2 linked regions of the Drosophila melanogaster genome follow. The protein of the gene in region 1 interacts with the protein of each later gene in a pairwise test. Each region holds a gene or a part of one and is shown in the gene's direction. Other genes may lie near its edges. The genes, in order: dpp and Col4a1.

What was found.
Region 2: the proteins of dpp (region 1) and Col4a1 interact in binary tests that used the Drosophila melanogaster proteins (3 or more experiments, as listed by UniProt).

Annotation. Positions count from the first base shown.
Region 1 is NT_033779.5:2,421,925-2,437,521, forward strand, and holds the start of dpp (decapentaplegic), read left to right. Parts: upstream 1-6,447; 5' UTR 6,448-7,126; intron 7,127-15,597. Other genes in the region: CG9886 (uncharacterized protein), read left to right, coding at 1-105, 162-491; CG44139 (uncharacterized protein), read left to right, coding at 2,917-3,087. UniProt on the Drosophila melanogaster protein: Required during oogenesis for eggshell patterning and dorsal/ventral patterning of the embryo.
Region 2 is NT_033779.5:5,022,582-5,038,365, forward strand, and holds Col4a1 (collagen type IV alpha 1), read left to right. Parts: upstream 1-7,027; 5' UTR 7,028-7,165; exon of another isoform or gene 7,166-7,229; intron 7,230-7,555; 5' UTR 7,556-7,636; coding exon 7,637-7,656; intron 7,657-8,160; coding exon 8,161-8,209; intron 8,210-8,273; coding exon 8,274-9,221; intron 9,222-9,296; coding exon 9,297-9,793; intron 9,794-9,918; coding exon 9,919-11,369; intron 11,370-11,431; coding exon 11,432-12,400; intron 12,401-12,482; coding exon 12,483-13,627; intron 13,628-13,895; coding exon 13,896-14,156; 3' UTR 14,157-14,698; downstream 14,699-15,784. Other genes in the region: vkg (viking), read right to left, coding at 4,456-4,548; CG14042 (uncharacterized protein), read left to right, coding at 15,541-15,784. UniProt on the Drosophila melanogaster protein: Collagen type IV is specific for basement membranes.

The DNA of each region.
Region 1 (15,597 bases):
GCCTTTGGGGAGAGAAGTTATCCGACTTTTCGGAGGGCCCTAGAGGACCACATGAGCAGCAAGAAGCCACTGTTCCTGATCTGTGGAGGAGAGCCAGTCATTAAAGTTTGTGGAAACTACTTCAAATGGTCATCAAATCATTCACGATTCTTTTTCCGTAGGTTTCTGGCCATGGATTGGGCGGCAGAAGCCAGCACTTGGCCCTGCTGATGTCGCAGGCTCTGCACCGCGACGAGGCCATGCGGGACTGCACCTTCCTGAGCGCCGGAACCGACGGCATCGATGGACCCACCGATGCGGCCGGAGCTTTTGGAGACAGCAGCGTGGTGGAATCCTATCTGGGTGATCATACCCTCGATGAACTGGCCGAAACGCTGCGAAACTGCGACAGCTACAACTTTTACAAGAATCTCGCGCAGGGAGAGCACCACGTGCTCACTGGACACACGGGTACCAATGTGATGGATCTGCATTTCCTGGTCGTGCCGTAGTGTAACGCCCTCGCTCGCCGATAAATCCATTTAGTTGTATACTTGCATATACATATATGTACATATGTGGGGCAGTTCGTTAATGGAGCTGCTCTTGAACCGCAGACGGGCAATAGTCGTTTAAATTTGTTTTTACGATTTTCCTCTTTAATTTTGCTCTATGAAATTTTTACGACTTTTTTCATTAACATTTTTAATATCCATTCAAATTCAAATAATTTTGTGATCTTTATGCTCTGAGACGGTCTTCAGTGACAGCATAAAACGGCAATTAGCTTTCGTCTCCGGTTATGAAATCAGCCTGGAATTGTCTTGATTGTAATTATGTGGCAGGCAATAGGCAAACCGAACGACAGATGTGATAAATCAATTTGTATATGCGATCACCACGGAGCATAAATATATCTGAGTAATTTCCATTTAATTTCCATTTCTTTTGTACTGCGTCTCATAAAAATGCGCTGCTAATAAATCATCTTAATTGTTCGAAACGCCAAAGGCAAACAGTAGCCAACGAGCAACTACAACAATAGCCAGCGATAATTGCAATTAAAAATGTAAATTTATTTGCTTCGCTTTATTTTTAGACATACTGAAAAACTAAAACGCGACGCGCGCCCAGTTGCAATTTAGCGATTTTTACTATAGCTAACACTTGAGTGCATATTTCTCTAATTGTGATTGTTTTGCCCGCTTCTATCAACGCTTCTTATTGTTTACTTCGCGTGGAACACCAGCACATACATATAAGTAGTATTATTATTTTGCCGCGCATATGCCACAATTATTAAATAATCACATTCGCCAGTCACTCTCTTGAGCTATTTTTGCTCGATTAGGTTTGTTATTAACTGCATTTCGCAGTGCACGCCTTCAGAGATGACTAAGTTCTGATTCCTTTGTAACTTATACTATGACTAATCTAAGATATCTACCTACTGCGCACAACAGTCAATTGTCTCTGTGATTGTGATTGTTCTAAGATACAATTGATATGTTCTGCTGCACAATGAATGCTCCCACTTTAAATTTGTGGAGTAATTCCAAAAGGATATAAGTGTCTAATAAGTGTGCTAAATCATTTCAATTGTAACAAATTTGTACTTATATATAAGATTTCAAGAGCTCGCTTCTGAGATAAGAGGCTACCAGGAAGTGCCAGCCTCCAATTAAGAGCTCAGCTGCCCACTGGTGGACACGAAGGGCCCACTCGGAGATCCGTGGCTGGCGATTAGAAACGTTTCCGTTTCCGCTTCGATGGCACAGATGTCATCATCATCGGCGGCAGCTATATTTAACATTTTTATTAACCACTGACCACCAGCAACTCCCCTCCCACAGATGTGGAATGTCGCGTCAATTTGTCTGGCCCGGCATGGCAACAATCTCGGCGGGCATCTCATCCTCACCATCACCATGATCATCATCTTCATCATCATCATCATGAGCATCAGCATCGCCATCAGCATCGGAGCAGCAGATACGGCCATCGCCAAGATGGAGTACAAGTGTCGCGTTGATTTATTAATTAAGCATTGGAGCGCGGCAGCTGAGCAACGCGTGGCAGCTGACGACGATGCTAATGAAGTACTCGCTGGAAATTTTAATTAACGATCTCCGATCCGATCGCCATATAGCATAGATTCCTCTTGTGTTGACTTATGACATCACACCCCGAATAGCGCAACACCAGCTGCCAGCGATCTCATTGCCAGACAAACTGACGACGCTTATCACACAATGTACAAAAAGCGCTCCAAACAAGTGGCACTGGGCAACATTGCGTATACGCCGCATGGCCCCAAAGCCAACAATTAAACACTATTCACCGCATGTCGCCTGCGGGCGACATACATAAATTTCATTCGGTCGCCGCTGCTCTTAATTTGTCTAGACAATGGCAAAGTTCACTCCGAACAAATATAATATAGGCAAAGTTCAATTGGCGCTCTTGTCAGCTGCCTTAGTTGGGGGCAAATGGACACAAATTCCAGAAAAGGAACGGAAGGCACATGCATTCTGTTGGACTATAGTCTTGGCTACGCTCATGTGAATCACTTTTCAAACTTTCGGATGGAATCTCTTAATTTGAACCAGATGTGTGGCGCCAACTTGGGACAGATTTTGGGGGCGCAACGAACTTATGTGGCAATGAACTTGACACTGGTTACTCCGAAGACGATTGCCGAATTTTCATTTTCCCTTCCCATCCCTTCATCTAGAACTTCATTTAAAACACAATACTTTTGTTTGAATATAAAATTTAGAAAGGTTATAGCTTAAAAGCTAGTATAAATTTAAATTTTTCACGCTTTGGATAGCAATTAGACGTACTTAACATTTTAGATACGCTACCGTCTAAATAAAAAATGTGGACTGAGATTGACTCTTCAAGACTATTGCTTGCCAGAGATCCTTGACAAAGATGCGCTGGATGTCGTTTCTGCTCCTAGGGATCCCCATCACGATGCTGATGGCCGAACGCACCCCATATGTGTGCGATGGCAAGGACGACCGGGTCTGTGACGAGTATCGCTGCATGTGCCGGAGAAAGACGTCGACAGAACCGTATCCTAGAACAGAGTATGAATTTTAAAACAGAAATAATTAAAGGACTTGTCGCTCGAGCTCTTCCTTCGGCGGTGTCTCCTTTGAAAATTCAAATAAATTGGAGGGTTCTGGAGGCCTGACCAGCCTCAAATTTAGATCGTCAGCCAGATACAGGAATGGCTTTTCCAGGTTAAGTTTTGACTTCATCCGCCCATATGTTACCTGCAGGAACGCCGTGCGATCATTCATAGGCTCACTCTTGTTGCCGCAGATGATCACCGGGATTTTGTTGCAGACGCGCACCAGAGCGCGGTACCAAATATACTAGAAATTTGTAATCATATAATCATACCATAGTAATACTTTATAGGTCAGAAATGCTTTCAATCCCTGTTTAAGTACTCCATTGAGTAGAAGTTATAGAAATTGATTTCTCTTTCAAGCAAGTCTTTAAAAATGCATCTAACAATGCCATCAATTTTAAAAGGTTTCCACAAAGCTCTTAGCTCCTCACAAACCTTTTCCGATCTTGCAACACTCGAGTACCGATGCTCATCGCAACAATTATGTCTAACCGATGTTGATGTTGGCATTAATAATTTCGGGCTGCTACTTGCCATTTATCAAAAGCACTGATCTTCCCATATGCCGAATGGGCAGCTTAATGTCAATCGGCTCTTTTCCAAGCTCTTGGCTTCTTTGCCCCCGCGCTCTGGGCCATTAATGCATTACAAATAGGTGCGGCAGACCGCAACAGCAACCTGGGCAAAGGGACTTGGCCACAGACGCATCGGTGCCGTTGACCAACGTGACTGAGATTGAGATTGAGGACTGCAGTTCGCTCTGGCTACCTGTGGAAAAGTGGAAAGGCAGAGAACTGAAATCCAGCCAGCAGACGACCTCAAGTGTAAGGCAGCGCAATCGAGTTGCTGCAGCAGCAGCAGCAACATGCAACATCCATAGTCCAGAAGCAGTTCAAGTTTGCGCCAAGGAATTCCTTGCCGCTGAAATAATTAAGCATTGCAACATTGTTTATTGTTGCTGTTGTTGCTCCTGCTGCTGCTGCTGCTGCTGGGTGTTGCAGGCTCGTTTAACAAGGCAGCCAAGTTCTCAACAAGTGCCTCCTCCTGTTCTACAAGTTTTTGCCCCTCCACTCCGATTTTTTTCATTTTTTGCGCCTGTTGCTGCTGCTGCTGGTGCCACTCTAAGGAATTTCCATTTTATTTACATTTAGAATGTGCCGAACGGACTCGTCGCATGTAAAGCGGGCCAAATCGAAAGCTATTAGACCTATTAGCATATCGGGCTGGAACATGGCAAATTTAGTGGCAACATTGTTGCCTCCGCGATAAACGCACTAAAAATCAAGTCTTCACCTTTATTACCGCATCGAAGTGCCAGCGTTATGGCAATTCGAAAAAGAATAGGAAGCGATCGTTACTTATAGAAAATATAGATAAATAAATGTGCAAAACGCCAATCGATTGGCGTACATTTCATGGCGTTTACCTGATTGTTGTGGCCAGCCCACAGTTAACTTAATTGCCACTTCCCAAGCGCTTTATTTACGGAAATACTGACGGCTAAGCGACTATTTTACACGCAGAGAAATGAAGTGCAATTTAGCTAATCAGGTAATAGGCAGGCATTTTTACAAAGTGCGTACTTGTTTCCCATAATCTTTCGTTATGTTGTAAGGATGTTATTCCTTACTTTACAACATTTTCATTACATAATGGAATTGTAATTGATTTGAATATCTATATTTCTCTGGGTGCATCGACTGTGTGAAAGTGTTGTCAATGCTGCCGCTTGGCCATAGCCTACAATCGCGATTGGCTGATCGAGTTGGAAAGGAAAATAGCAAGAAATCATAATAACAACAACTAAAATTTTCCATAACCTTAAAAAATAGAAAAAAAATGAGGCAGCTATTTATAAAATGCGCAATCTGCGAGATGCGTGCGGCAATCTGTCCGTCGGTCCGCCGATGCCGCCAGCTGTGTGCCAAGATGCCGCTGGCCCCCCGAAGTCCCCTCTGTGGAGCCCCCGTTGGATCCCCCCTTGGAGCCCCCCGCCGCACTGCGCTGTGTTGTCTGCGTTTATTGATTTATTAGAAAATTCCAATGAACAAGTTTTAATACACGACACACGGCGAACGATGAAGTCGATGTTGTCAGCGTGCTTGTTGTGCTTTTTCTGCTCCTTGGCTGCTTGTTTTGTTGCACTTGTGTTCCTGAGGCAAGCACAATATACGGGAAGAAAGGCTGTGGGAAAGAGACAGAACAGCCGCTGGTAAAAGTAACAAGTGCAATATTTTAATTACATCAGCGGCAAGAACAACAACCAGATCAGCGGCATCAATTGAGTTTGCTGCATGGATTTTGGGCAGCTAGCGTTGCCAGATGGGCACACGAGGCGTATGATTGATATGGTGAGTAAGGCTTGGGGAATCATAGTATCAAGGCCTAAATAACAAATAAAACATTTTGAAGGACAAACAAAATTTTTAAAAATATTAAATAGATCGATGAGTCAAACGGAGCTCATGTGTGTGTTATCTGCAGAGCCTGACTTTTGTGCTTCGATTTCATTAAACTCTCACTTTGGCATATCTCAAAACGATCTAGCTCCTATAACTCGAACAAGCCGAACAATCCGGCAACGCCGATCGACTCGAAAGATTGTCTGCTCGGGACTCTAAGCATTTTGCAATCAATTTAGATTTGCATTAGCAGCGCTGCAGTCTCGAGAAGTCCGCGACTTAGTCCGAGATTTAGAGCCAAAAATAAACCGAACCAGTTGCGGCAGCGCCGAAAAGTCAAATGTGTAACAGCTCTGTGGCTTTGGCTCGAAGAGAGACTTGAAGAAAGTCAAGATATCGCAGCTGAGACAGAAGACAGAAGACTGAACACTAAAGACTGAGGACCGAAGACTCTGTGTTGACTGTAGACTGTGGACCGGAGACTGTGGACTGAAGACGGCGACTGAGAGAGCTGAAATATTGTAATTGTGAGTCTGGCTTGTTTGTTATTGTTGCCTTAGCGGTTGCTTGTTGTTTTTTTGGCTTGATTAATAATTAATCGCACTCGCACACACACACACACACACACATACTGCCTGTTTTAATTACTCAACTTAAATGGCGCTTTGAGCGACTTAAGCAACTTGCCATCGTGGTCGGCAGTGTGTGTGCGATTGACTCTCACTACTACGAGCTCAAAACTAACTAACTAGCTTGTGTTGCTGTTGCTGCTTGTGTTGCTGTTGCTGCTGTGCTGTGCTTTGCTTTGATGTTGCTGTTGCTGCTGCTCGGCTCTGCTTCTGCTTTTGCTTTTGCTGCTCCGTCTCCGGATCGCTTTTGCCTGCCTGCCTGTTTGCCTTGCCTCGGCCGCTTTGGACGCTCATTCAGTTTTTTGCGCTCAACGCTCGTTGTACGGAACCGAAAAACGCGTTCGTTCGTCCACAGAGTGTCGCCAAATCGAGGCGAAAGATCGCTGGTTACAACCGAATATACAGCCTCTAATCACTTTTTTTCTGCTCTGTAATCGTTCGCGGTTTCTGCGGCCATAAAATAAAGTAAATCCGAGTTAAACGCTGATAGTCGCGCCTGAAGAACCACAGAAAAAACAGAAAATATCTCCCGTCGTTTCTCGTTCTCGTTTCCGCGATCGCTCGTCAGCCAGCCAAAGCCTCTCCGATTTTTGATACCGATTCGGTATCAGATAATATATTCGTAACCATCGCCATTCTTGCGAGTGTGCCAGTGTGAGTGAGTGATGTGTCTGTGTGCCAAATCCAAATCGAAAATAGCCAAAGTCTGAGCTTGGCCACCATCGTCAGCAGCAAACATGTGAAGTGCCAGTGATTTCCATAAGCCAAAATCGAAGTCGAAGTCGAATCGAATCGAATCGAAGCCACAGCGAGATAGATAGGTCGAAAGTATTTGAGTGGATATCCGAGTCGAACCAGTGTATAATGTATGCGACGTTCGCGAACTGCCAGAATTGGTTGTTGTTGCAGTTGCAGCCAAAGGATTTGTGGATTTTGGAGCGTAACTGAGCGGCGTGCAGCAGGTGCACCAGGTAAGCCAAGCCGAGAGTGTTAGCAAATAATGCGCATACGCCATGGTGGCTGCGTGTCCAATTCGAGATCAATCGAATCAATTGAACGGCTGTTAAACAGCTGACTGGGAAAACTGGAACTGGGTGCAATGCGTGAGTCACATACACATATACATATGAATACAATGCATATAGACTGGCTGATTACTTATGTATATAAATGTGAAAGAAATAAATACATGTAACTCAGAAGTCAGTGGATTATTTCTGAAACAATAGCAATTGCAGTATATTATGTTCATTTTCTTCAGAGACTTTAGCACTGTTTAGATTTCTAATGATAAACTTTGCAACCATTTCACTTTTATGCATTTACATTTATGAAGACACCTAAAAAATCTATATTACTATGAGGAAATCTAGTTTGCTTTAATAAGTTTGCCAATAGATAAGTCCCTTCCGCCAACTTGATATCACTGCATAAAGTTTCGACAGATTTACGCCAGTATCCGGGGAAAAAGTGAAATTCTATCTCTGGACCCCGGACATTATCAGCAGAGACATGTGGAGATCGGGTGTCACTTGCATATTCATGGGGGCCAAGTGATGAACTGAATTAACGGCATTCCACACCAGTCACAATTAGCGGCTGACACTGACATTGGCCATGGTAAAAAACCCTTTGACCATATGCCATATACTCGTTAATTTATGACGCCATTTGGCTAATTGAATAATTATATGTGACTGGCTGGGCGTGGCTGGGCAGGGCTTGCTTCGCTTAGCTTTGCTTTGGTTTGGTTTGATCGATCACGATTGCATAAGCCATCCCACATGGGATCGGAATCAGCATCGAAATCTGAATCTAAATCTTAATCGGTATCTATATCGATTTATTCGATTTGCCTTGCTAATGCGACTGGGGGCACTAAATCAGTGTCAAAGTTCACCCCACTAGGCTCAATTAGTTTATTAACTGCGATTTGCATTTGCATTCGCAGGGCGCAGCAAGCCCGTTGGTTAGGTGGGAAATTGATAGCTTCGAAATGTGCAAAGGTACAGAAATAAAGCCCGATAACAAAACTAAGCAACCGCAGCAGCAGCAGCAGCATCAGCTACATAGAAGCAACACATCAGCAAGACAGAGCAGCAATATAATGAGATATAGCTACACAGATATAGCAACAGCTGACGATGAGACCATGAAGGTCTACCACTTTCGGAAATTCGACGAAAATGAAATAAAAATCGTGAGCACGCAATGAAGCAGCCAAGTTGAAGTTGGCTTCCACTTCCATGCCATCCCATCACCATCTCCATCTCAATCTTCATCTTGGCCTGGCAAATCACGTTGCTGATAACAACAACTGAGCAATGCGGCAATAATTTGCTGCCCATGCCCGCTTCGCCCCGCTCTCGGCCAAGTTAAGTGGCTACTGGTCATCAGCAGGCAGCAACAACTGGCTTAGGCCAACATTTTTATCAAAAGTGGTGGCATTAGCAACCGCATCCCCCCCGTTGGCCGCCGAAAGAAACTGGTCAGTCTCTGGAGGCTTGAGACTCCCAATAGTTTCACTTATTTTACACGCATTTCTTAACGATAAATAAATTCCACAAGCAGATGCGGCCAGCAACAGCGGCAACAACAACTTGGCCCGGTCAGCAACAACTTTTGCTATCACGTTTCCATGCAAACAACACACAGCCACAAAAATATTTCCATTGGTATTCGCTTGTACTTGAATTGCCCCACGAAAGATTGTGGGGGGGGGGAGGGTGTTCGAACAAGAGGCTGCAGCAGGTGGCAACTGCAACTGCAACTAATGCTTCAGGTGCTTTTGGCCCGGACTTTGCACCTCAGTCTACCGTTTGGGCCATTCCGATGCCAGATTTCCGCCTGATGTGGCGCCTCAAGGCAGCCGAGAACGATATCCGATATCGCTGGCTGCTGCTCGATGGGTTTATGGTTTATGGGATACACCTTGACTGGAAAACCAATTGGATTGCACAAGAAGTGTGATTTGATAGGTGCAAACTTAAATTATAATTATGTGTTATTATATCATAATCATAGCAAGAAACGCTAGCTAACAATTCCAATATGTATCAATATTCTGACTATGTCAACTATCTAATAATATTAGTTTACATTTTTATTTAAAAGTCGAGCGAGCCCAGCTCAATCACCTGCTAAACTTCTATGCTAAACGAAGATGAATGAACTTAGCTTCAAGGTGGCCAAACGAAACGACACGATTTGGCAACGATCTTCTGTCTTCTGTCTGTCAAATCGAGAACTGATCAATTTTGCTTTTTATTTTATAAATTCTCTCTCGAAAATATATTGTATAAGGTCATCTTCTTCGAGAACCCGACCATACTGGTTTTTTTTTCGGTCCAGAAGATGCCAAGCGCCGTAGTTTCACTCGGCGTTCAACGCGGCGTATGCCTAATATGCGAACTTGAGTTACTTTTCCAATTCACTTTTGCCCCGGCCTTTCTCGCCGCCCCGGCGATTCGCCCAAATAACGCCATCGGTATCGGTATCAATTTCAATTTCGCAGATATACATTTATTGCATATGATTTATCATGTCTGACACTTGGGCCAGACCACTTGTCAAATGGGAAATAGCCACGACAACATGCTGTGATTTTAGATAAATTCATAACTCAGCCCAACTTGTCTTGCCTTCAAAGTTCAAATCACTTGGCGCTCTCACATGGGCCACATATATATATACACACACACATACGCATATTTCATGCTAATTATTTATTTATGAGTTATTTTTATTCGATAAGCCTCAAATGGAGGGACACCATTTACATTTACAGTTATGCGTCGAACATACATATTTTCCGTTTGTTTTTTCAGTTTGAATTTAATTTTCCCACTTATTCCACTGGCCATTTCAAAGGCAGCAAGTCAGCTGTTGCCACTGGCGAATTCGTTTTAACGAACTTGAAATCGCTTTTCGAGCTTCTGGGGAAACGATAATAAACAGCCACTTATTTTCATATATGTATTTCTGTTTGGCTGTATTTTGTAGTCTACTGGCAATGGGACACTAATCAGTGGACTTCGTTACAAAGCTTAGTTTGAAGTACTATTGAATAGCAGGAGCCTTGTGGTTCCTTCAAACATATGTTTTGGATTTTGATAAGTAGGACAGCAGGAAATTCGCAAAGCGGATTGATTAGGGGTCGTTGTTTTCTCGGGGTTTTACATTTGCAAAGTAACAAAATGGATAACAAATTGTATATCAATTCATTCATACTTTAGCTGTGGCAAATATATATATAGTATGCAAGCTTAACTTAGGCTTTAGATTTCGGTTTTCAAGATCTTCCCATTTTCAAAAGACTTCACGCCCATTTGACGACAGAACACGTTCCTTGGGTCTGTTTTTATCCACTGTTTGTTTGTTTAATTACAACGTTGTGGTGATCATGATCATCGGTGGAAGAGAGATAGTTATGGACGACGGCTTCACAGTTAGCTGGATACGGCAGTTGAAACCACTTTCGGTTGGATTCGAAAAGCGTAAACTAGATTCGAAATCCAGATCTTTGCAAGCATTCAATAACAAGATTTACATGTCTTAGTTGCCAACCACAAAAATTCAAGGAAACCTCAGCAGCAACAAAAATAATTGCAACGCAAACAAACCATAAAGTGCATATTTTAATAGCTGCATTGAAGTTTCAGTTTTACAACTCCCAGTGGGTCAGTGAGAATAAATATATATATTTCTAGTTATAATACTTATCGTAATGGGGGATTTTCCAGTTAGTCAGAGTGGCCGTAAAGTCAACATCCTGCGGTGCATTCACATTTTTGTCTCCGACTCCAAAGTGCTCCATTTTCATTGATGCAAATCTCTTATCAGGCCAAGAAAGTGCCAGTGGCACAAACACACTCATTCTGGAACAGGGTGATTAAGGATTTAGTACACCATTATATGATATATAAACCGTTTTCTAAGCAATTGCAACTTTATAGGCTGTGTGATGTGTGCTGAATAATTTACATACATACGTCTTGTGTTTAATCTTTCTAGGTAAAGTAAAGTAAACTCTCTATATACGCCTATATATATTTATATAAATATATATTAAAGATATTTCGCCATTGTGGACACCCTGTTTTTCGGGGTCTGAGTGGGACACGCGTTTATTCCAGCTCCGCTCTGCTTCTGTGGCTATCACTTCAGTTGACTTTACTTTTAAGGCGGCGGTAGCCTCGTCGTCTCCGCCGGTCCGCCCTGCCCCCTCTTCCCTTCTACCCACCGCCACCCAGTTACCTCGCCGCCCCTGATAAGCGCCCACTGTCCCCCTTCACTGAATCCACCCCCCCCCCCCCATCCATTGGCATCGCGGCAAAAGGTCTTCTTTGTTGTGAGTTGGAAAAGAGGAAAAAATCATAATAACAACGAGCAGAAGAGGATCGCCAAGAAGGGGCTGGAAAAGCAGCACGAGGTTTGCTGAGGCGGCAACTGCGCTTGGTTGTAGCAATTTACAGCAACAGCAACAGTTGCACCGTGAGAAAATGTTGTGTAAAAAGAACACTTGAAGCAAGAAGAACGGTCATCTGTCATGAGTAAATATCAAAAGCATTACTCCTAAAATTTTAAGCTAAGGTCAAACTCAATAAGACTTTAGCTTTTATAGTTTTGGCAAATTTGTCACTGTGTACCGACTATGCATATAATAAAAGCAACAAATATACTAACAACAGCAACAATAGCAACAAAAATGACAACAAAAGCAAAAACAACGAGCGTCATCGACGACAACAACGAACGACGACAACGACGACCACTCCACCAACTGGCATGGCAGTGAGACGTTGATTGCCACGGAATGCCGTCAAACAGGTTAAAAATGTAGGTAGAAATTCAATTAAAAATTGGTTATTTATTTATTTTAGCATGCACAGAGATCGACTCCGCACACGTTCATATATATATAGCAATAGCCACCGTGAGCTCCCCTTTCTCCGGCAATTGCCGCCCGTCGAATACTCGAGTTTATTTAATTAAGCTTTATTTGTGGCGCCTAAACTGCCGGCTGTCAATCAGGCGGCGTCAAGCGAGCTCGATTTGAAAGTGAAAACCCCGAAAAGCCCAGCAGGTGGTAAGATATCTGCAGTGGACTCCCAGTCACTCAGCCACTCAGGTGCAACAGATGCAGCTCCACAAAGACTCAGCTGCAACTCGTTCCGAAGAAATTTGCAATGAAAACTAATGCGGCCGAGAATTTGCATGCAAATCAATCATATGAGGGCGAATTCGGTGGGGTAGTCTCCGATTTGATACCCTGTAATTTACATCAAATAGCAATTAATTTGTATATATACCAAACCACGAATCTAACGATTGCTATCAAACATATTTCTAGATCTATAGGTAATGTAATCTTAGCTCCTTCGAATCTCCTAAGTGGGGCAAGCCGATCTTGATCCGAATCGAACCCATTAGTTTGATCTGGTTGCTATACACCAGCATCCAGTTAAAACCGATAGCATTTTCTTTTATTAATGCAAACCGCAAAAAGTTAATTTTAGCTGGGCTATTTTTAAATTAGCTGCTTTTGCGGCCCACTAACGATCGATCGAGTCATGTGCGATTTGCCCATATACGTAAGCACAGATATAGTTACGACCCCAAAGCCCGTAACTGGTTGCAGATATTACGAGTGCGCGATCTGAGTTCCCCAAACGGAGAGGGACGGATAGAGAGAAAGGGATAGAGACGGCGACAGTGGGGCGAGAGGGGCGAGAATCATCTCAAATTTTGCCTGATGGATCGCTTCAATTTGTGACTGTGACGGCCATGATTAAGATACTAATGCGATCGATTTGGAGACCGCTTCTGCCCAGCTGGAAGCTGCCTGCCTGCCACTATCCAACTTTTCTGCCCTCTGACTCTGAGTGATCTTTGCCCAAAATCAAAATTCACACTCAGATTCACTTGAATCGTTTCGATGTCGGTGTAAATTAGCCAAAAGAACTTCGCTTCCAGGAAGTCCACCTACCAGGTGATTCCTAATCTCGATCGCTCTCCGATCCGTTTGATATATGATGGAAAAGTTTCGCCTACGGCCGAAAGTGGAAAAATCTGCGGTTGCTTGGCTGGGGATTTTTCGCCCAAATAAATGAAAAACCATTTTAGCCCGCGAAATTTTTATCCAATAAAATTTCGCCAAGTATGTGAAATAGTACATTTCAAAGAGTATGCATGACTTGCACAATTTTGGGAACTGTTCTCACAGACTATGAGAATGGTGAAATGAATCCCAGGAATCATAGTTTTGTACAATTTATTTGGTCGAGACTTGTATGATTCACATATATGTATAAGTGTTTAAATAACATTAAATGTAATTTAAATGGAAAAGTAGTATAAATAGGAAAATTCTTCGGTATATAAAATTACTGATATCTTGTAGATCCAAGTCTCATCAAACAAAATAAACTATGATGTCGAACTGATGGTCATTAGGATTTCTTCAATCAGTTCAATGGTACTCCACCCTATAAATTGTGCCTATATATCATCAAATCTGCGCAATAGTTGGCCCAAGGCTCTCCGCGGGTAAATGAACTTTAGGAACTGCCATGACCATCGAGTTGGGCCTACAAAACGATTCGCCTTGGAAATTTCATGCAACTTTCAGCGTGTAAATAATTAAACCATAAAAGTCAATTGAAATTGAGAATGTTCCAATCGATCCAATCGGAACGCTTTGAGGGAGCCACAGCGAGAAAATAGTACTTATTTATGGCATTTATGGGCCGGGCCATAAAAACTTATGGATAGCCAAATTCACGGATAAATTAAAATAATTGAAATACTTTGAAAACTTAATTGCGATAGGCGAGGCGAGCTTGTTGATGCTAACGATCAAACATAAATTTCAGTGGGCCAAGAGCAGGCCCAGATACAGATACATGTGGAGAGGGAAGAGCAGATACTTAGATATAGACGCAAGTGTATATTTTACCGGCCGGCAAGGCGCGCATATGTATGCAATATGTTTTTTCTCTCTTTTTGCCTTTTCTCGCTTTATTTTTTTCAGCTGGCCTCGAAATCACTCGCCTCATTTCCATGAACGCATTTTCATTGCGCGGCCACAAATCATAAATGTTTCGTTCTCCCAGCCACAAAATATTTAGACAGATTTTGTTGCCAAAAGCCGTTTACAGGTGGCTGCGGAGCTGCGCGGATTTGAGTTGCTTCAGCCGGGATATTTCCTTGGAGAAGCCACTATGCAACATCATCATCCCAGCTGGGCGGCGTGGTCAAGGTTAAGCGGCTACTCCAACTATGCATAAATGTATCTGAATCCGATGGATGGTATCTACACGCGGAAAAACACAAGCAAACAAACAATTGCTACTTTGAGCATCAATCAAAAGCACTCGCCTTTTGTTTAGGAAGCCTTGCCATCTGTTCATTTTAAATACACTTATGGTGTATGTAGTAAATTAAATACCTTTTTTCTCCCTGTGTACATCTGTATCTGCTGGCCGGCGCTGCAGGACATCATCATCATCGGCAGGCGTGCGCTTCTTTTAACGATTTCAACAAAAATATTTCGCTTTCTGCGCTGCTCATTAATTCGTTTCGATTAAAAATTGCCTTTTTCTCTTTTTCCCCTGATTTTTTTTGCCGCTCATCTGCAGCTTGTTGTGCATAAAAATCACAGCAAGAGATCGCCCCGGAAAGTCCCGGCTTCCTTGCCCCGCGGCATAAGTATCTCACAATCACAATCAAAGTATCTGAATATGGATTTGATTTTGGATTTGGATTTGGATTTGGTTTGGATGTGGATTTAGATTTGGATTTGGCACATCGTCTAGCGGTGGAGAACAAGTTGCCGTTGATGCGAGTGCCTCTGAAATTTTTATGTGCCGCTTTTTCGGTCGGTTTGGGCGGAGCAGGGGCGGGGGCTTTTGTTTTGGTTTGTTTATGTTTAAAACGTACGCTACGTGCAATTGCTCTGGCAGCCCATTTGTTTATTATAAGGTCTGCGGCAGACTTCCCATGCGTGCCACTTGTTCTCACTTTGGGCTTTTCGATTTGTTTAGTTCGGGGATTCGGCCACTTAATATACAGAAATGTACTCCTAGCTGTTGCTGCAGACGCCTTATTTATTTGGCTTGGCATATTTTTTATGCGCAGGGTTTTCTCCACTGGCGGCTCGCTCTCACGTAATTATTGCAAATATTTCGCACTGATTTGGAATCCCAAGACTTTGTTTCTATTTTCTACTAGCTATTTGCTATTTGCTATTACGCTATTTTTCGACTCGTTTTGTTTATTTGCCAGTCGCCGCGCGTTTGTGTGTGTATTAGCGGGAAATAATAATTGAAAGTGTATTTCCAAGAATAGAATTTCAACAATTTGTAAGTGTTTTAGCCAGTTTTTAGCGAATGCAAAAATCAGGAAGAAATATGGCATGATCTTCTCCATAGGCACTCGATTC
Region 2 (15,784 bases), 2.6 Mb from region 1:
CCTACAAATGCATTTTATTGACCACTCAACCTAGTTGCACATTACAAAAGTGCCAGATTCATGCCAGATTCAGTTGGCATAAAAACGCCCGATTTTGGGGCACAGCTACAGGGTAGCAGTAAAAAAAAAAAAAAACGAATATGGGCCAACATATGAGCAGCGTGTGATTGACATGAAAAGGCAACCCCCGCACTTACTCACACCAACATTCATGTGGAGCATAGCATAGTAATGGATGCACATCTGGACGGGCGCACTTGCTGCATGACATCATTTTGCTCCGGCTTGACATTAAGTCAACATGTGGAGAAGATGCAAAAGAATCTGCACTGCCACTGGCACATGGAGAACACCCACGCACTCCGTAACCGTGCGTCTGGAGCAAAACCCAGTTGGATCTGCTTGAGTGACCGGTTACGGCATCGTGGCGCATAATTGTTTGGACACAAGCCTGACAGATGATAACTAATTGCCGTGCACTCAAATTAACATTGAAATTGATGGACAGCGGGCTGTCACAACTTAATATTCGCAACGATCGTCAATAAGGTGGCGATAAGGAAGCGCCAAGTGATTGAATCGCCTATCAAAGTATGTACATACATTCGTCAGATTGGGAAACTATATTGTTACCTTTTGAAAATGCACTTAAAATCATAAGTCACATCATGCCAGCAACCATTATCGTTCGAATTTTGCATCAAAGGAGCTGCCAGTTAGATTTCACCCAGTTATAAATCGCTTGAAATCATGAAGCCATTGGTTAACCATCTCAATGGCCTGCAAATAATTCAGACAATCAAAGCACTAGAAAGTTAACCAAGCAAATTAAGCAGAATTTATTTTTAGCCATGACAGTAGATGTCTGCCGTCTGAAATGGAATCTCAGCAATGGAATCGCATCATACATTGTACACATATGCATATGTACATGCCATATAGTGTCTAAATATATGTATATATGTATAGAATTTCAAATGCTCAGATGAATATCAATTTCATGAGCCCGTACGGACTGATAAGGCGGCAAAAAAAAAAGGAGAAGAGCGAGCTGCAGTTATGAGACAGATGACTGATAACCCAATTTCACTAGCTTCGCTCATAAATAATCGTTTCAATTCACGAAATTCATTACAAAGGCGGCTACTAAGTGGCCCCTGCCCATATCACTCATACGACATGTTGTCCATATCGCACACACACACACACACACACATACACGTACATATAGAGAGCGAGACTCCGCATAATTTCCGCATTCAGTTGCAGATAAATAAATAATTGAGTCAAATTGAAATGCAACTCGCCAAACAATTCAGCTCAAGCACGCAAATAAACTTCCACAAGGAGTCCAACAATGAGATGATGATCATTGTTGTCCGAGCTCCGAGCTGCTGCCCCCGCTCTTCGTTTTCTTGGGCGGTCTTCAGTTGGATCGAAATCCCCTCCACCAGCTGGACACCCATCACCAGTTGGCCCCGCTCAGTCTGGCCGGCGGTGGTCAGTGATTTATGCCAGCAGCATCGGGTCACTTTGGACCAGGATCGGGAATAAACAAAACCCAAGGAGAACGAAACTGAAGACTGAAAGGGAAGGTGCACGGAAAGAAATGGTTGAGTGGCAATAATCAAACCCGCTAGATCATAATTTTATAATTTGATAGAAATTACTCCTCTTCTTAAATAACCAATTCAATATAATACAATATTTTTACAAGCTTTTTATAAGAAAATTTCGGAATTCATGGTAAATTTCGAAGGTTTTAGATTATGTATTTATTTGATATTGTTTTGTATGTAGTTAAGATTTTTCTAAGTGCACCATCGAAGTTTCTAAGACTTTGGACGGCAGCAGCAGCCGCCGCAGAAGCAACAAAACAACAAACAGCCAAGAACTTTCAATTCCAATTTGAAATGGTGCAGAACGTCAAAAGATTGCCGACCCCCTCACCCCCTGAAGTCGCCATACCCCGGCAACCCTTCTTCATTTCAATTCCAGTGATTCTCCAAGAGAGCCCCTCACCGATCACTTGAGCTGCTGCTAATTGTCGGAATCGAACTGCGCACACACACACAAGCGCACTGGCGAAAGAGCACACTTATTCACAGGCAATAACGGCATTTCCATATATGTATTTATAGCTGGGCAAGTGCAGGAGAAAAGAGAAAGGGTGCATGGGGTAGTGGTGCAGTGGTAAAGTGGGGAGAGCGACTGATAAAGACCATTTATCAAAATTCATTCATTGAAAGCCTCAGCTGCATCTGCAATCGATGAGTTCATCTCTCTCTGTCTCTTCTGCTCTTCGATTGAAGCGGCTCTTAAGCGATCGGCTCTCTTTTCGCGGAACGGAAAAGGAAATCATTTGTTCGGCTAATGAAGCGCCAAACTGGTTGCAAAACCCATTGCGAGAACAGTTTTAGAGCCATTGCCTGAGAGCTGTTAACTGTTTAATAAGTATATTCAAATGATGCTGGAATAAATACCCTTAAAAACATTAAGTATGAATATATCTTACTCATAGCAGATAATTCCCTTTATAAATTTCTTTATAGATTGTAAATAATGGCATACATACAATGTGTGTTTCTAATCAAAACTAATTCCAGCGAAAAATGTGAATCCCCTTCTATTCAGATTAGCTTAATGCACCCAGGATATAATTAATTATATCGTTTTCAAATACTGTTGCAAGTGAAACAACTTTTTTTGTAAGCCTTCGCTTATCGTGAGGGTAACACGAGCAACGGTAGCTAAGCGAAGTCAAGTTTTTCATCGTTTTGCGGTTAGTCCTCCATTGGCAACCCACAAGACCTGGAGACCTGGCAGCTCTCACTCGGAATCCGGGAGTTAGGGTCCCAAGCCCATGGCATTGACCACGTAACCGAGTGCGAAAAGAGCTGTGGATCGGATTACCAAAGTCGTCAGACGAGCTGCACACTTATGATGGCAAACACGTGAGCGATGGGGCCAGATTTCCAGATCCCAACGAATTGAGTGCACGAATTGTGCATTGAGTTAACTGCTCAACTGGTATGAAAACTAAACTCTGATCTCTGGTAAAGGCAATAAAGTCAAGCCAAGCCGATAGCCTCTGCGACTGCTGGCGACACTTGTTTCAATTCTAAAGTGTATTTATTCTAAATTCGAGTCTAGAAAGCCATGTCGCAATCAGCGGAACATGCTATCAATGGCGTCAATGCCGCCAACATAGCAATAGGTCTAATTAAATGTGTGTAGATCAGTCGCAGCCTGATAAGACCAGCCGAATGCCATCAAAAAGTAGGTGCCGCCGGCATGTGCTCCATTTTTCATCCAGCATTACGAAATCTCTGTGATCCCTAGCCATTTAAATATTAATACTCAATTTAATTTGGTACATACACAAGGTACACTGAATTGGGCAACTCGGTGTTAAAAAGTAGTGCATAGTTTTTGGGGCAACATTGAGTATTGCGTTTGCCTCGCACTTTTGTGTCAAATCATTTTTGTGTTTGCTTAAAAAATCATTCATAAATAAATGAAATATTCGCAACCTCAATGGTTAATGTGTCTTATTTTGAATAATAATCTATTCAATTGGGGTAATAACTAAGAACCTGCGCATTCTTTGTTTTTCATACTCATTCCCGTTTCATTTTACAAATGATTATATGCCAATTAAGCGACTAATCTGGCGGTTATTAAATATAATTCTAATTGCCAGCCGGAAACGTTCAATGGCGAACCACAATTGGTATGCCAAAAAAGCAATGTCCTCCAAATTGAAAGATTAGGGGGGTTATCAATGGGCGTTATCGCCAACCTCTTCACCTACAAAATTATGTTGCCAAAATTATTTAATGACATAATCGATCCCAAGCTGGACTTGGACTTCATTGAACCCCCGGAATCGGGAACGAGCTGAAAGGAATTATCTGTCGAAGCCAAAGAGTTGCAACTACGCGATGTTTTCATGCCGGAAGTGTGAATAAATCAGAGAGTGCAGTGCTGCAGAATAACAATAACAATAGCAGCGGTGATTAAGAGTCGAGCTCCGAGCTGACCCAATTTTACATAGTTGTTTATGGTTGATACTATGTAAATGCGAAATCAATGACTACGGATACAGTTTGGAGAGCATTGGTGGACATGATAATTTTCTTTCAAAGTTAATTAAGAATATTATTGTTATAAGCTTCAAGTAACTTAAAAATGCTGCGTTAATGAAATAGGCATATACAGTTTGACAAGCACTTTGGTTAGTATTTAGCAATCTCATAAAATTCAAACGGTTATGGTCTGAGAAGCACTTTAAATAGTAAGAGCCTTATTTTAAATATCATTTCCTAAGTTGTTTTAAGACATAAAAAAAAGTTGAAAAAAGTTATTGCACTACAATCTATACATTTCTCAATCCAAGTCTTTAAAGAGCTGTCAATTTTTGGATATTATACTAAGCATTTCGATTGCACTTACCTTTCCATCCGCCAAGGTAACGGAAACCAGGCTGCCCAACAGATAAACGACGCCCAGAAGACCCGAGAGATGCCTTAGATCTCTGGGTAACATCCTCGCTGGGTCCTTTGGTCCTATCCGCAACGTATTTATGTCGCACTCTATCTAATTGCCTCTGTCTCTCCCCGCTTAAAACACACACGAAACTGCCAACGAAATAAGCATAAAATTAGAAATTGAAGAATTTTCGATTCTTATAAAATGCCCTCAAATAAAACCGACATTAGCAAATCAAGTATTAAAGAGTTGACGATCGGAAAAGTGTGGGAAACTAACAGAAAACGCTGATTTGCTGCTGCTGCGATCGTCGGGCACAGCACTCTCCCCACATGTGGAGATCGTCTAGCGTTCGAAGTATTACTAAACACGAGTCCCGCTAAAGAAATTCGAATTCTTCGCCCGCACACTCGGCACGCTCGGCTCCACTCGTAAAAGTTCGGCCGTTCGCGATCGGCTCTCGGCCCACCAATACTATCGCAAGTGGAAGTTGCAGCAGTGTGAGTGTAGTAGGCACAGGCCAGGGACAGGCCCGGATGGATGTTTTGGATGGAGATTTGGATGGAGGTTTGGATGTAGATGTGACTCCGGGCTCTGGTTATGGTTCGGAATTTAGCACTTTGACGCCTTGAAACGAGGAAATGAGGAGCAGAGCCCTCTAACCAAATCAAAGCGGCCCGATTCTAAGCATACAAATTCTATTTCCCATTTTGGTACCGTATCCCTGAAGGGGTATGATCAATCAGATTCTCACTTTGTTCTTTTTATTAGGCACGTCTCTTGGGAAAATACAAATTATTAAATAATTTATTAATTAATGTTACTATTACTAACTATTACTAACAGGCACATACCATTTATACATAATAACCATCCGCATATAACTTAAATGATAGTTCCAACTAGCGACACACGATATTTCTTGCGGGGTAAAAGCTATTCTAATACTCAATCCCAGCTATCCTAGTGATTTCAATACAATTAGATGCTAGTTTGTTTGTCGCGCTTCTCGTGATTAGGTTAAGGCTTTTTCATTTAGTACTTACATATATGGCATATGTGAGGCTGATAAGACGGATATGGCTGAGTATTTCCTGTTAGAACGAACTACTGATCAACTGAAAACCGAACATGAGTTTTAAGCTCCAATAAGTCCGACGCAGAAAAGCCAAATGGGAACCTTTCGAAATTCGAGCCTGATTTTGGGTTTCGGGGCCACAGTGTTTTGAAATAAGTCTTGATAGGGCGGCTATAATCAAGGCCTCGTTCTAGTTGGGAAAGCTCTTTTGTTCTAGGGTACGTGCAAGTCGGATATGGCCCAGTGGCCTGAATATATGTCTTCTCAGGAAACTGCTGTGATTAGGATATTAAATGATGTCGCACTTCGGCAACTTAAAATCTTATTAATTTATGTTTAGAGCGGTATTAGTAAGTATTATGTCGTACTTACTATCAAAATGAATGGATCTCAATAATTATTATTAATTAAATAACAATAATTATTTTAAGTATGTATAAAACTTGGCACTTAAAATGAAATTTCATTTAAGATACATTTAGTTTTAATAAAGCGTAGATAGATACAAAAAAAATCGAAAAAAGACCATTCTTTGAAACAATAATTGCATCGACATACTAAAATCAATCAAACTAAAATATTTTGTTTTAGAAAAGAATGGAATGATTTGAATAATCAGTTATATATAGCAAATAAAAATATACCAAGTAAAGCTTAAAAAGAGATTTAATCTTCAAAACCTTTGTCAAATTAATTATATCAGTTTTGAAAGCTAGAGAATATTTTTAAAACTTAGAAAAGGACTATAATCCTATTAAAAGTAAAGTATATGCCAATAAAATGTTTACACATGTTTTTGTTATCCTTTAAGTTTTAGATATTTTTATCATACTTATTGTAAGTACACACAAAATTTTGATGAGGTTATAATTAGAACATTGGCCTGATAGCGAAGCCTTCGGAATTTCCCTTGCCCGAGCACCGAAAAAAGTCCAAAAAGCAGGAGCCGCAGGGGCGGACCAAAACGGAAGCCATGTGCCCGATCTCAGGGCGGGGGCTATCAGCTAATTTTGAGATGGGAGCTGGTAGCTGCGATCTGGAAGCTGGGATCTGGGAGCCGGAGAGCTGGTTGAAGGTGCTCCCGGGGAGGTGCTCCGGCGGAACGAAGCTGATGTGCTATTGAGCAACTTAAGTCGCATGTGGCATATCAACAGCAGCGACGGACTTATCGCCAAGTTTCATTCATTCCGCAGCGACTATGTTAACTTGTGGGATTAGTGTTGCTACATACGACGACCCGTCGCCCATCCGTTCTATATGCCATGGTGCCACCACCCACCTCCCACCAGCCACCTCGCAGCCATCGCAACCGATCCGATGCCCATCCAATCCCCGTCGAATCACACGGATAGTGTACATGAGCCGTAGACCCGATCGTCGAGATCGTGCCAAGCCGAACGATCGACGAGTGAAGATCGGGGCATCGGCGTTTGGCTTTTGGATCGCTCGAACTTATACTATAATTAGTCGTGTTCCGTCTCCCCGAGTAAGTAGTAGTCTGGTCTCGGTCCGGAGCTGATCTGGCCAGCTGGTTTTAGTCTTTAGTCAGCGCTGTGGAGTGGTGATCGGTTCGGATCGGATCGCTCGGTTGTGAATGTGTGTTTCCATTAGGGTCCCGTCCCGTCCCGTCCAACCGTCCCTTAAATAGGATTTGATTCCTGTAAGGAACTGAGCTTTTACAACAACAAAATAATATAAACATAAAATATCTTAATTAAATCAGGAAGAACGCGTACTATTAATTGAAAATATCCAGCAAGTCGTTGTGCGAGTCTCGTACCAGTTCCAGTGCCTCTCAAACTGTCGCGTGTATATGCTTGGAAATGAAATGAAACGAAATACAAGAATTAAATCGTTGAAAAAAAATAAGCCAGCTCGATTTTCCCACAAATATTAAATAAAATAATATTCCTCTAAGAATATTTCCAATTTATTTTGCAACTGTTGCGAAATTAAAGTGCCCAATTCTCTGGCTCATCTTTCCAGGCCCAGCGACGGCAACATATAAACTTCAAATTCGACGAGGACAGAGCAAATAATTGTGCAGGCTTAAGTGCATAGGGCATCATGTTGCCCTTCTGGAAGCGGTAAGAAAAATGACAAAAGTTAGAAAAATAATACAAATGGTTGCAAAAATTTAAGTTAATCAAAGAAAGCAATTGTTAATTATTAAAAACCATGACAATAATACTTACTTAACAACTAATAATACTCTATTTAAAAATTTAAAATTTTTTTGAAATTTTTAATGATTAAAACCCAGTTATGGCCTAAAAAAGTATTGCCAATTTTTTTCTTTCTAATCCATTCAGAAAGAGCAAATATTAGTTTTTAAATTAATATTTTAGATATCAGCAATACAAAAATACATAATTTAAAACATCACATTTGTTCAATTTTTTTTTAATTTTTCGAAGCGCGATCTCTTAAAAACTTGTAAGCTCTCTCTTAAGCGCCTTTAGCAAACTCTCTTGAATTGACGGCTTAAGAGAGAGCTGCCAATCGAAGAGAGCTATGTCCAATTAAATAGCTAGACTGATAAGACGAAGCACAGTTCCTAACCCTCCTGATCTTCGTCGACTTCTTTGCAGGCTGCTATACGCCGCTGTGATCGCGGGAGCGTTAGTCGGTGCCGACGCTGTAAGATAACCGTAGCCCATGCCATCCATCTGGACATTGAATAATATACTCCTTTTCCCCGCAGCAATTTTGGAAGACGGCTGGTACGGCCGGTTCGATTCAGGACTCCGTGAAACACTACAATCGAAATGAACCCAAGTTCCCAATCGACGACAGTTACGACATTGTAGACTCTGCCGGCGTGGCGCGCGGCGATCTGCCGCCCAAGAATTGTACGGCCGGATATGCGGGCTGTGTGCCCAAGTGCATAGCGGAGAAGGGCAACCGTGGTCTGCCGGGCCCTCTTGGACCCACGGGATTGAAGGGCGAAATGGGTTTCCCTGGCATGGAGGGACCATCTGGTGACAAGGGTCAGAAGGGTGATCCCGGCCCATACGGACAGCGTGGTGATAAGGGTGAGCGCGGATCGCCTGGTCTTCATGGTCAGGCTGGTGTACCCGGAGTCCAGGGACCCGCCGGCAATCCCGGAGCCCCTGGTATCAACGGTAAAGACGGTTGCGACGGACAGGATGGTATTCCTGGCTTGGAGGGTCTATCCGGAATGCCCGGACCTCGCGGATATGCCGGCCAGCTTGGCAGCAAGGGCGAGAAGGGTGAACCGGCAAAGGAGAACGGTGATTACGCGAAGGGCGAGAAGGGTGAGCCCGGTTGGAGGGGGACTGCCGGTTTGGCTGGACCACAAGGATTTCCTGGAGAAAAGGGCGAGCGCGGCGACAGTGGACCTTACGGAGCCAAAGGACCCCGGGGTGAGCACGGTCTGAAGGGAGAGAAGGGTGCCTCCTGCTACGGACCCATGAAGCCTGGTGCACCGGGTATCAAGGGCGAGAAGGGTGAGCCCGCGTCCTCGTTTCCCGTCAAACCGACCCACACGGTGATGGGACCTCGCGGCGATATGGGACAGAAGGGAGAGCCTGGCCTAGTTGGCCGCAAGGGTGAGCCCGGACCTGAAGGCGACACTGGACTCGATGGACAGAAGGGCGAGAAGGGTCTGCCCGGCGGCCCAGGCGATCGCGTAAGTCGAGTTCATACTTAAGGCTCCAAATCGAAGTGGAAGTTGAAACCTCTATAATGAAATATATACGTACAGGGTCGCCAAGGTAACTTTGGACCCCCAGGATCTACAGGACAAAAGGGAGATCGTGGCGAGCCGGGCCTTAATGGTCTGCCCGGTAATCCCGGACAGAAGGGTGAGCCAGGACGTGCTGGAGCGACAGGTAAGCCTGGTCTGCTCGGTCCTCCGGGACCGCCAGGCGGTGGCCGTGGAACACCAGGACCCCCGGGACCCAAAGGACCCCGCGGCTATGTTGGCGCACCTGGACCCCAGGGATTAAACGGAGTTGATGGACTACCGGGTCCTCAGGGATACAATGGACAAAAGGGAGGTGCTGGTCTGCCCGGTCGCCCCGGCAACGAGGGACCTCCTGGCAAAAAGGGAGAAAAGGGAACCGCAGGACTTAATGGACCAAAGGGATCCATCGGACCCATTGGACACCCAGGACCACCGGGACCAGAGGGACAGAAGGGTGACGCCGGTTTGCCCGGTTATGGCATTCAAGGATCTAAGGGAGATGCTGGCATACCTGGGTAAGTGCAATGATTCATTTAATAGTCCTAGCACTCAGTCGAGTCCCACTGTGGAGCCGAGTCCTGTTCTTACTTTCCTTCATTAAAGATCTTATTTAATTCGAATTAATTTTCGTTCGTCCTAGTTATCCCGGACTAAAGGGTAGCAAGGGAGAGCGCGGCTTCAAGGGCAATGCTGGTGCTCCCGGTGACTCCAAGCTGGGTCGTCCTGGAACTCCCGGTGCCGCTGGTGCTCCTGGACAAAAGGGAGACGCTGGTCGTCCCGGCACTCCTGGCCAAAAGGGAGACATGGGTATCAAGGGTGACGTCGGCGGCAAATGCTCATCGTGCAGGGCCGGACCAAAGGGTGATAAGGGAACGAGCGGACTGCCTGGAATTCCCGGAAAGGATGGCGCACGAGGACCGCCTGGAGAGCGCGGATATCCCGGAGAGCGTGGACACGATGGAATCAACGGACAAACTGGACCGCCTGGTGAGAAGGGAGAGGACGGTCGCACTGGTCTTCCCGGAGCAACTGGAGAGCCTGGCAAACCTGCTCTGTGCGATTTGAGTTTGATTGAGCCATTGAAGGGTGACAAGGGTTACCCTGGTGCGCCAGGTGCAAAGGGCGTGCAAGGATTCAAGGGAGCAGAAGGTCTGCCTGGTATCCCTGGACCCAAAGGAGAATTCGGTTTCAAGGGTGAGAAGGGTTTGAGCGGAGCACCCGGCAACGACGGAACACCCGGACGCGCTGGGCGGGACGGATACCCCGGAATTCCCGGTCAATCCATCAAGGGCGAGCCAGGCTTCCATGGAAGGGACGGAGCAAAGGGCGACAAGGGATCATTTGGCCGAAGCGGCGAGAAGGGAGAGCCCGGTAGCTGTGCGCTTGACGAAATTAAGATGCCCGCCAAGGGTAACAAGGGTGAGCCCGGCCAAACCGGCATGCCAGGACCTCCGGGAGAAGACGGCAGCCCGGGAGAGAGGGGCTATACCGGATTGAAGGGCAACACTGGACCACAGGGACCTCCTGGCGTTGAAGGACCCCGCGGCTTGAATGGACCTCGCGGTGAAAAGGGCAACCAGGGCGCTGTCGGAGTACCTGGTAATCCTGGCAAGGACGGCCTTCGCGGCATTCCCGGACGCAATGGACAGCCTGGACCGAGGGGAGAGCCTGGTATTTCGAGACCCGGCCCTATGGGCCCACCCGGTCTCAATGGTCTGCAAGGTGAGAAGGGCGACCGTGGTCCAACCGGACCCATTGGTTTTCCCGGTGCCGATGGCAGTGTGGGATATCCTGGAGATAGAGGCGATGCCGGTCTGCCCGGAGTATCTGGACGTCCCGGAATTGTTGGTGAGAAGGGAGACGTGGGCCCGATCGGACCCGCTGGTGTTGCCGGACCTCCTGGTGTTCCTGGTATTGATGGTGTGCGTGGACGTGATGGCGCCAAGGGTGAGCCCGGCAGTCCCGGATTGGTCGGCATGCCCGGTAACAAAGGTGACCGTGGTGCTCCTGGAAATGACGGACCCAAGGGCTTTGCTGGCGTTACTGGTGCTCCCGGAAAGCGCGGACCTGCTGGTATTCCCGGAGTTTCCGGTAAGTTTTTGCAGTATCCCATTCGAACATTTGATGTGAACCATTTGGTTTCATTTGTTCAGGTGCCAAGGGTGACAAGGGCGCTACTGGCTTGACTGGCAACGATGGACCTGTGGGAGGCCGCGGTCCTCCAGGTGCTCCTGGACTGATGGGCATTAAGGGTGACCAAGGATTGGCAGGCGCCCCTGGACAACAAGGACTGGACGGTATGCCTGGCGAAAAGGGTAACCAAGGATTCCCCGGTCTGGATGGACCTCCTGGTTTGCCTGGAGATGCCTCCGAGAAAGGACAAAAGGGTGAACCCGGTCCATCCGGACTCCGCGGCGATACAGGTCCGGCCGGAACGCCCGGTTGGCCAGGAGAGAAGGGTTTGCCCGGTCTGGCTGTTCACGGTCGTGCTGGTCCGCCAGGCGAGAAGGGTGACCAGGGACGCAGTGGAATCGATGGACGAGATGGAATTAACGGCGAGAAGGGTGAACAAGGTCTGCAGGGCGTTTGGGGCCAGCCTGGCGAGAAGGGATCTGTCGGCGCACCTGGTATTCCTGGTGCTCCCGGAATGGATGGTTTGCCCGGCGCTGCTGGTGCTCCTGGTGCTGTTGGCTATCCTGGTGATCGCGGTGACAAGGGAGAGCCTGGTCTATCTGGTCTGCCCGGACTCAAGGGTGAGACTGGACCCGTTGGACTGCAGGGCTTCACCGGTGCTCCTGGCCCTAAGGGTGAGCGCGGTATTCGTGGTCAGCCCGGTCTTCCGGCCACCGTTCCCGACATCCGTGGTGATAAGGGATCCCAGGGCGAGCGCGGCTACACTGGCGAGAAGGGCGAGCAAGGCGAACGAGGCTTGACTGGTCCTGCTGGCGTCGCTGGAGCAAAGGGAGATCGCGGATTGCAGGGACCACCAGGTGCAAGCGGATTGAACGGCATTCCCGGAGCCAAGGGAGACATTGGTCCAAGAGGCGAGATCGGTTATCCAGGAGTTACCATTAAGGGCGAGAAGGGTCTGCCCGGTCGCCCAGGCAGAAACGGACGTCAAGGTGAGTTTGTGATCCCATATTTGTATTTACACAATTGGTTCATATAACCATGTCACCAATCAACGTTATTTAACCCATTCAGGTCTTATTGGAGCACCCGGCTTAATTGGAGAACGTGGTCTGCCTGGCTTGGCCGGAGAGCCCGGCCTCGTGGGCCTGCCTGGACCCATTGGACCAGCTGGCAGCAAGGGAGAGCGTGGTCTCGCCGGCAGTCCCGGACAACCAGGACAGGATGGCTTCCCCGGCGCACCTGGATTGAAGGGAGATACTGGACCGCAGGGCTTTAAGGGCGAACGTGGTCTGAATGGCTTCGAGGGACAAAAGGGAGACAAGGGTGACCGAGGACTCCAAGGACCGTCTGGACTGCCCGGCTTGGTTGGACAGAAGGGAGATACCGGCTACCCTGGCTTAAATGGAAACGATGGACCTGTCGGAGCTCCTGGCGAGCGCGGCTTCACCGGGCCCAAGGGACGCGATGGACGCGACGGAACACCAGGTCTGCCTGGACAGAAGGGTGAACCAGGAATGCTGCCACCACCAGGACCCAAGGGCGAACCTGGTCAGCCGGGACGCAATGGACCTAAGGGAGAGCCCGGACGTCCGGGAGAGCGTGGCTTGATTGGCATCCAGGGTGAGCGTGGCGAAAAGGGTGAGCGCGGCCTGATCGGTGAGACTGGTAACGTGGGACGACCCGGACCCAAGGGAGATCGCGGAGAGCCAGGCGAGAGGGGATATGAGGGCGCCATTGGTTTGATCGGCCAGAAGGGTGAGCCCGGTGCTCCAGCCCCCGCTGCTCTGGACTATCTCACCGGTATCCTGATTACGCGACACAGTCAATCGGAAACGGTGCCCGCTTGCTCGGCTGGACACACGGAACTGTGGACGGGTTACTCCCTGTTGTACGTCGATGGCAATGACTATGCCCACAACCAGGACCTTGGATCCCCCGGATCCTGTGTGCCACGCTTCTCAACGCTGCCCGTACTGTCGTGTGGTCAGAATAACGTCTGCAACTACGCCTCCAGAAATGACAAGACCTTCTGGCTGACAACCAACGCCGCCATTCCGATGATGCCCGTTGAAAACATCGAGATCCGCCAGTACATCTCACGTTGCGTCGTTTGTGAGGCGCCGGCTAATGTGATCGCCGTGCACAGTCAAACGATAGAGGTGCCCGACTGTCCGAATGGCTGGGAGGGTCTCTGGATTGGCTACAGTTTCCTCATGGTGAGTATCGGAACACTTATAACGTTAGATTATAGAAGAATGATGAGAGTTTTCAAAATCCACAAGGGATGCGTTTCCGAAGTTTCCCTAGCTTTCCAGCAGATGGCGCACGTTCCAACGACACTCTTGCGCCATCTGTTGGATACTGCGTAGCGAAAGATTTGATACAATAGTTTTAATTTTCAACCTTTATTCCTAACTACTTGTGGGATTTTAAATAGTTCTTTTATAATGATGCTAATATTAACCCAACCATTTCCTATAATAGCACACTGCCGTGGGCAACGGTGGCGGTGGACAGGCGCTGCAATCGCCTGGCTCCTGTTTGGAGGACTTCCGTGCAACGCCCTTCATCGAGTGCAACGGCGCCAAGGGCACGTGCCACTTCTATGAGACGATGACAAGCTTCTGGATGTACAACCTGGAGTCCTCACAGCCGTTCGAGAGGCCACAGCAGCAGACGATCAAGGCCGGCGAGCGGCAGTCGCATGTGTCCAGGTGCCAGGTGTGCATGAAGAACTCCTCGTAGGACCTCCAATCCCAACACAGACACACCCACAGCACAGAGCATAAGTTTAATCTAAATGTAAAGCCTTAAAATTACCAACGAATCGTGTGCACACCCACACGATCACAACACAAACACAAACAAACAAACCAACACACACACACACATACATACACCGACGAACCAACACTGCTACAAATTCCTTAATCTAACCAAAAAGAAAAAAAAACGGATCCACAAGTCGAAGTGCTAATTACCGACCGACCTGGACCACAATGCCATTTTTTATCTGCCAATTAATGTTCTAAACAAATGTAAACTGCTTCTAAGTTACGTTACGTATGTTAAGTAAATGAAACAAATAAATAAACTAGCCTCGGTCGTATGTCCAAAAGTATAAAATAAACTATGTGCCAGCATGTTCCATTTATTTTTGAAACCGATTAAATGCGAAACAATGCAACAAAACGCGGTATCGAACGAATATCGAACGAATCGAATCCTCAACTGCTATACAAAACTTGTCGCATATCGTTTTAAAATAAACTAAAATTTATAAATACAAATTACGACCACAATTTCATACAAGCCTATTTAGAGCAAATATTGTTGAGGATAAAAAATCGTATGCCCTTCAGTGATAAACTTCCTGCAAGACAAATACTGCATACTTTTTACCCCTAACATTGAGTGATAAGATCTTCCTCAAAAGACCAGGGCTAAGGGTAGGCTATTGTGGTGGAAACCCCGTCGCGGAGAACCCTTAAAAAAGCAATGCCAAGCCAAGGATGAGAGCGAACTCACCTCGTGCACTTGTGCGCATGCCATTGCCTCTCTTTGTGCGGATTTGCGGTGGGGGAGGGGGTTGGTTAGCTGTCAAGGGGGTGGCGATGACGATTGGGGTCGCCGTGGACGGTTTGCGGGGCATAAAGTGGGGTGGACCGAGCCATATGATAATGATATGCAGACACACACACGCGCACAAAGTCCAATTGGTGGTTGGAAGCAGGTCGTGGAAAATAAGGGTAGGCCTTTGTGGGGCGATTCAAGTTGGAATCGTAAAAGTGAGTTGGAAAAAAAGTGCCAGAAGCCAGTGTGACTTGGACGCAAGCGGAGGCGGTCGTCGGTGGGAGTTGTAACTTCAGCCAGATAAGAGGAGCTGCTTTTTGTAGGTGTGGAGGAGCAGCAAGACGGAAAAAATGTGTGTACCTCGAAAAAAAAAACAGTGAAAATTGCGAGCTCTCGTTTGGAAAGCAGCGTGAAATTTGCATAAACTAACAAGACCACAAAGCCAACGGGAAGTGCACCACCAAAATCAGAGACTCCCAAGAAGCAGCAGTCTTCCGCCCCACCAAAAAAAAAAAAAAAAAAAAGGAAGAGGACACACCACCACCCCTACATATTTATGATTATCGTCCTGCTGCTGCTGTTCCAATCGCTGTGCCTCTACTGCCAACGCCTGGTGCTCTACGTCCACGACCGATGCTTCCCGAGGAACGTGCGCCTGCTGCAGGAGGTGGCCGAAACGGTGGGCGATCGTAAGGCGCCACAGCGCCTGGCGGAGCAGCAGCTGGAGCAACAGAAGCGCAGCCAGAAGCGTCGCATCCTCGAACCAATCCTTCCGCTCGTTGGTGGCCTCAATTCCGAGG